Linked DNA regions of Mus musculus. The main gene of each other region encodes a partner of the protein of the gene in region 2 in a complex. Links are inferred from orthologs where the notes say so. Each region holds a gene or a part of one and is shown on either strand. Other genes may lie near its edges.

Region 1 (3,098 bases), on a different chromosome or scaffold from region 2:
ACACACCAGAAGAGGGCATCGGATCCCATTACAGATGGTTTTGAGCCACCATGTGGTGGCTGGGAATTGACCTCTAGAAGAGCAGACAGTATTCCTAACCTCTGAGCAATCTCTCCAGTCCAGTAAGTTTCTTATGTTTATAATTTTCTTTTTCTGAGGCAGGGTCTGCAAGCTGTATGCTTCCTAAAAAAAGTAAGTTTAAAGTTTTTGTTTTGTTATGTGTGTTCTGTGTTATTTTGCCTGCGCATCATTTTGTGTACCTGGTGCTGCCTGAGAACAGAAGAGCATGTCTGACTCCTGTCAATGGAGCTGCAGCCCATTGTGAACTCCCCTGGGGTGCGGGACTTCCCTGCTCGGGAGGAGCAGGCAGTGTTCTTCAGCTCTTGTGCCATGTTTTCAAAGGGGTCATTTCTTCCTGGTACAGTCAAGGCTGACCGTGACCTCCTGGTCTTCCTGCCTCTACCTCCTGAGCTGGGATGTGTGAACCCTCGCAGTCAGCTTCTGCAGCTGTGGGGATGGACCCTAAGGCTCCTCCTGCACGCTAAGGAACCACTCTACCAACTGAGTTAAACCAATCCCTTCTTTGTTTGATGCTTTAAAATGATTTTTTTAAGACATGGTGATACGGCTCAACAGATAAAGACACTGGCCACGATGCCTGACAACATAGTCTTCTGAGCCACATGATGGGCTTAGAAGTGGAGAACTGGCTCCTTTCAGTGGTTCTCTGACCTTCACATGCATGGGCTAAAATGATGTGCAAACCAATACAGCATGCTCCACTCCCACAATAGAAATAAGCACAAAAAATGATGTATGTACCAAAAATTCACCCAAAGGTTCTTTGCACTAATGTTGGTTATTTAGGCTATATTATATAATGCCTTCTGTATCGCGAGATCATATAGATTATTTGTACTTTCCATCAGGAATAGTATAATGCAAATGGCTTTGCTTTTACGTTTTAATTTGGGAGTAGAGGCTGAGGGTGGGAAAGAGTCTAAGATAGCCCAGGTTGACCTCAAACTCACTATGTAGCCAAGGCTGGTCTCAAACTTGTGATTCTCAGCATTAGAGTGCTGAAGTTAGCAGCAGCCCAGCTCACCCGGCTCGGGTCTATCGTAGACAGCACACATCAGATCCAAAGAGGCAGCTTAGGAATGAAACGCAGCTGAACACATTTTGGCTGAGCATCTTTGCAAGCTTCAGAAGCAAACCTGCTGTCTGAGTCTCTTCTCAAGCCCACACAGACACGTGTTGTAGCTCTCCCTCCCAATGCCAGTGACAGGGAGGAGGGGGACCCTACACCCTTACGTATTTTTATAAGAGAGGATATATATCTGAAGCCGAGCATCCACGGGCCAGGCTCTGGAACAACAGCACAGCTAACTCTTCAGTCACTTTACTCTGCAGGCTCCATTAGACTGTCGTCAAGAGAGGAGCTGAGTCCGTCTAAGATGCTAGCTGGGGAGGACACCTGCTCCAGCTCGACCTGCGTTGCTGTCTGACACTCGGGGGTGGGGGCACTCACCAGTGGTACCAATCGTCACAGTCGTCACAGCCAATCATCGGGCTCCCGTCATCAGGCTTGTTGCACCCTGGACAGATCCAGATCTGATTGCCCCACTCATCACGGATCTGGTGGTAAAGTGCAGAGCAGAAACAGATGGTGTGGGGGGAAAGAAGCAGGTAAGAATGCTGCTTTATACTGGCCACAGTAAACCAACAAGCTAGGTGCATGCATTAGCACTGTTGTACGCGACCATCAGTCGCCTCTGCTCTGGATCCATAAAGAGGAGAACACCTGGTCATTCAGGAACAGCGTCCTCCTCCTCCTCTTCCCTCACACACTCCCTCCTCTCACTCTCTCCTAGCTCTCTCCCTCTCAGTTTCCCCTACTCTTACACTCTCCCTCACACACCCCGCTCCGATTTGTTGTTATTGTTGTTGTTGAGGCAGATCTCATGAGCTCAGGCAGGCTTGGCTTGGCAGTCACTATATAGTCCAGGCTGGTTTTGAACTGCAATCTTTGCCTCTACTTCCTGAGAACTGGGATTTCTGGTGTGTGCTGCCATGCCTGGATAGAAGGACACATTTCTAATGCACATTCTAAACTGCTTTATAAATCACTAAAAGCAAAGCATCACAGAGTCATCTCTGGGAACCGTGGAACACAACCTGAGTCGGCTTCACCTAAGAATCCTATAAGCTCACAAACCCCCAATGATTATGGGGTGTCGGGCAGAAGCAAGTGAGAGTTAGAAAGCCCTCAGCTTTCTGTATCCCCTCAGCCACGGTCTAGCACAGACAGTCAAGTGTGCATGCGCGCCGTCATTACTCATTAGCCAGGCCCTGCTCCTGAGCTAGGTGATAAGATCAAGGATGGAAAAGAGCTGTTACTGAGTAACTTTCCATTCCCTTTATGACATTTTAGAAAAGCACAATCAACTAAAGGGCGGAGGAAAGAAGAGGCTCATGGGGCCAACGAACTAAATGATTATTATGCTCCAAATGCTGTGTGTTCTGGAAGTTCTGACTTCGTTCTCAACAGGGAGCGCTCCTAACTGGACAGCTTTCTCAAATGTCACATTATCAGAACTGCATGGACACTGGAAAGGAGCGCCGAGTCACGCTTCCTTTTAAATGTCCTCACAGTAAGACAGCATATGACTTCACTACAGATTTTGCAAGGTGTCCTCGTCCTATGCCTTTAGCACTGCACTGACTCGATATGTGAACGACCAGGGTTTCTTTGTGAGGGCTTACCAAGACTGGGCATGTTCTGCTGTATGCATGGACTTGCTCAAAAGTTACTATTTCAAAAATCTCTATAAAGCAATCCACCTTGACCTGAAACTGTTCTAGAGGAATGTGGAGAAAGCTGTCTCTGACTGCCAGCTCTAACTTGGGGGACACTGCACCATGGGGAAAGAACCAGCAGCGTCCCCCAAGTGGGGGTGTCCAGTGGGTGAAGCCACCATGCATGGCTGGTCCTGCTGCTGGCTGACCTTACTTGACATTAGCAGACTTGTGACTCTGAGATACATTAAAAAAATTGCTATAGCACCACAGTAGGACCCAATATTTTCCAGGGTACT
Region 2 (3,819 bases):
ACACAGAAAAACTCTTGTCAAAACAACCCTTCCCCCCCCAAAAAAAAAAAATTAAAGAGGAAAGGAAGGAACGAAGGAAGGAAGGAAGGAAGGACAAGACAAGAAAAGAGAAAAGAAGCCAGAAGCCAGGCAGCGGTGCCGCACGCCTTTAATCCCAGCACTTGGGAGGCAGAAGCAGGCAGATTTCTGAGTTGAGGCCAGACTGGTCTACAGAGTGAGTTCCAGGACAGCCAGGGCTACACAGAGAAACCCTGTCAAAAAAAACCAAAAAAAAAAAAAAAAAAAAAAAAAAAAAAAAAAAAAAAAAAGAAAAAAGAAAAGAAAAGAAAAAAAAAGAAAAGGAAAGAGAAGAAAAGAGAGAAAGAAAATCTAACAGTTCTATGAGGGCAACCAACATGTAACCACCTAAATTATTTAGGTATCTGAGTATACCTAAGTAATGTGTAAGCAGCTAAAGTTACCACCCCTCTTTCCTAAGGAAAGGGATGCCACATCTAAATTACATTAAAACATGATGAGGGAGCTGAAGATTCAGCTTAGCTGTACATTGCTTGCCTGGCTTGATCCTACAGTGGATTCCCAGCACCACAAACACAAACAAACAACAAACCGTGTGTACTCCCAACCCCTTTTTGTGAGACAGGTCCTCACAATGTAGCTCTGGTTGTCCTGGGGCTCACTCTGTAGAGCAGGCTGGCTTTGAACTCAGAGCTGCCTGACTCAGCCTTCTGAGTGCTAGTATTAAAGGCTTTACAGCAGTTAGGTGTGTGTATATGTTTACATGTGCCCACCATAATGCATATGTGGAAGTAACTTGAGGAATTAGGATCTCTCCTTCCACCACAGACATGGGGACTGAACTCCGATTGTCAAGCTTAGCCGCATGTGCCTTTACTGGCTGCTACTTGGTGACCCTCTGTTTCTTTGAGACAGGGTCCTGAACTTGTTTCCTGACCTTCCTCCTACCACCTCGAAAGTGCTGGGATCACAGGTGTGACCTCCACACCCACTTTCTCTTGTTCTTTTCCAGTGGCTTCCAGAGTCAACACAGGCTGGTCTCTGCTCAGCCAACCGTTCCCCAAGCAGCTCGGCCAGTCCTTCTTCCCACTCCCTTGAAATTGCTCCTCAACCGTCCTATGCAGCCTACACGATCCAAGGCAAAGGTGTACTTCTTTTCTTGTTGCTCTAGAGGGTGGAATCAGGCTCACAGGTATGAAGAGGGAATCCCTGCTGACATTGATGGCAGCAGTAAGATAAACTACAAGAAGGAACAAAAGAGCAAAAACTGATGCTGGAGAGATGGCTCAGCGGTTAAAAGCACTGACTACTCTTCCAGAGGTCCTGAGTTCAATTCCCAGAAACCACATGATGGCTCACAACCATCTGTAATGGGGAGCCAATGCCCTCTTCTGATGTGTGTGAAGACAGCTACAGTGTACTCACATACACGAAATAAATAAATAAATCTTAAAAAACAAAAAACAGACCTGACACTGTAGACAATAATTCAATAAAACTGGTAGAGTGGAAGACCTTCTTCAACAGAAAGAATGAGCGCCTGACAACATCCATCTCTGTATGGACAGGGCCAAATTAGAGAGGGGGCTCTGAGGAAGAAAGGCTCGGGAGTACCTGGTTGTTTTCAGGGCTGAGACGACCACCTGTCCCAGGAGTGCCTGCTATCTTCCCCACGGTGGTGCTATTGGCCATGGAGCCTTGTGGCGGGGTGCTAGCTGGCTCTGGTTTTACAGATGAGAAACTGGAGAGGTTGATTAGCGCTGAAGGGCCAAACTGGTTCATAATCTGCCGAGCTTTAGACTTCAACTCATAGAGCTTGTCAAGATCCTGCTTCTTTTTAGAGCTGTGAGGACCAAGGCCAATCAGCTGTAGAAGGGAAACAGACAGGGTTACTCTAGAGACACCTGCAGTGCTGGCTGAGTTCTGAAAGTAACAGGAAAGCTGTCAGACTCTGAGTCTTATCTGAGAGGGTGACCTCTTGACGTTGACATTAAAATGGAGGGAATAAGGAATTTCATTGCTCTCACCTGGTTTTTAGAAACCATCTTGTCTCCAAAACGGAAATGAAATAGTTCACAAAATTGAAATAAGGAAAAAAGTAAGTGAAATCAGCAATCTTATTTTAAAAAGTAAACTAGAATAAGTAAGACATTTTAAAGGGTTTCATACAAGCAGAATACTGGGTTAAGTACGTACATGCATTATTTTAAGTATCAAATAATGTTAAATTCAAATAAACAGAAGCACAATCAAATACTTGAAACTCAGTCACAAAGCTTAAGAAAACAATTAGTTCACTTTCAAAACATGGTGAAGCATTCCAAAACATGCTTACATCCAAGGCAGGGCTCTGCCCAACAAACACAACTTTTAGCAACTATTAAGAACTCTGCTTTCCTGGTAACAAACTTTTTCCATTGTGTTTTAGCATTCTTCAAGACATGCTGAGGCTCTTGCCTAAAGCAGCCAGAAATCCTACATTTTAGAGCCATTAGACTGACTCTGGACATCGGCTGTGGTGTCAAGATCAGAAGCACATTCACCAAGTTCTGCCCATGGCAGCCTCCAAGAATTTACTTACTGCTATCTGAGTGTCTAGATCTTTAATTACATCAGCAACTGCTGTAAGCCCACTGTAATGAGAGGCAGCCATTTTCAAAAGCTACCTGTAAACAAATAACTAGTATCAAGTACCACCCTGGCCAAAGAAGTATTCCAGTCGTGTGGCATGGTGCAATTACACCAGCAGGGATCCAGCTGAAGATGCAGCTCAGTGCTAGAGTGCTTGCCTACTATATGTGAGGCCCTGGCTTTGTAACTCCATCAAAAGAGTACTGTATCAGATGTGGCTGCTGAGGCAGGAGAATCTTGGGTATGAGGCCAGAGTCAGTCATCCAGGTAGCTGTTCTTACTTCAAACAGTAAAACTATAGGCTGCACGGTTGAGAGTTCAATTAAATAACCAAGTCTAACCTCCCTCATCCCATCTGCCACAGCTAAGCTGGGGTTGGCAGACAGAATGGCATGCTCTAACGGCCTTTCCTTTTAAAAGCTTTCCTTTGCTGGCCAGTGGTGGTGCATGCCTTTAATCCCAGCACTTGGGAAATAGAGACAGGTGGGTTTCTGAGTTCAAGGCCAGCCTGGTCTACAGAGTTCCAGGACAGCCAGGGCTACACAGAGAAACCCTGTCTTCAAAAATAAAAACAAACAAAAAAACAGCTAAAAAAACCAAAAACACATTGTGATCACTTTTTAAAGTAATAGTGGCCCAGGCTGGCCTCGAACTCGTGATCCTCCTGCCTCTGCCTCCTTCAGTAACCGGCATGCGCCACCACAACCAGCTTAAAGTAAAAGTGGATGTTTTTAATTACATAACTCAGGAGGAAGAGGCAGGCAGATCTCTATGAGTTCTAGATTAACCAAGGGTATACAGTGAGACCCTATCTCAAGAAAAGAAAAGAATAAAGGAAGGATGGAAGAAAAAAGGAAAGGAATGAGTGAAAGAAAAAAGAGGGAAAGTTGGGAGACAGGGATAAAAACAGATTCTATTTAAACAATTTTACTTCTGTGATGGTCAGGAATTTTATTATTGAAACACAACATCGGAGTCAAGGGGACTGTTTGCTGGTGGCAGAAAAGCCTTGTGACTATGGTGCTCGGCCTGACTTCATAGTTGGGTTTTACCTGGCTGTTTGTTTCCTCTCCAGCTTCTGGCTGTCTACACAGATTAGTATTTCATAGTCTACTGAACTAAAAAGAACCAGTGATCTGAGACTAGGGAGCAAAAGAAAAGGTTTTTGTG

The links.
Region 1: Taf12 (region 2) and Taf3 share a complex: the UniProt entries of both Homo sapiens proteins name them as parts of the TFIID basal transcription factor complex. The link is inferred for Mus musculus from reciprocal best matches to the Homo sapiens genes TAF12 and TAF3.

Annotation. Positions count from the first base shown.
Region 1 is NC_000068.7:9,916,572-9,919,669, forward strand, and holds part of Taf3 (transcription initiation factor TFIID subunit 3), read right to left. Parts: exon of another isoform or gene 1,639-3,098; coding exon 1,532-1,638; exon of another isoform or gene 1,414-1,531; intron 123-1,413; exon of another isoform or gene 93-122; intron 1-92. UniProt on the Homo sapiens protein: The TFIID basal transcription factor complex plays a major role in the initiation of RNA polymerase II (Pol II)-dependent transcription.
Region 2 is NC_000070.6:132,280,859-132,284,677, reverse strand, and holds part of Taf12 (transcription initiation factor TFIID subunit 12), read right to left. Parts: intron 2,621-3,819; exon of another isoform or gene 2,600-2,620; intron 2,064-2,599; coding exon of another isoform or gene 2,046-2,063; intron 1,885-2,045; coding exon of another isoform or gene 1,801-1,884; coding exon 1,633-1,800; intron 1-1,632. UniProt on the Homo sapiens protein: The TFIID basal transcription factor complex plays a major role in the initiation of RNA polymerase II (Pol II)-dependent transcription.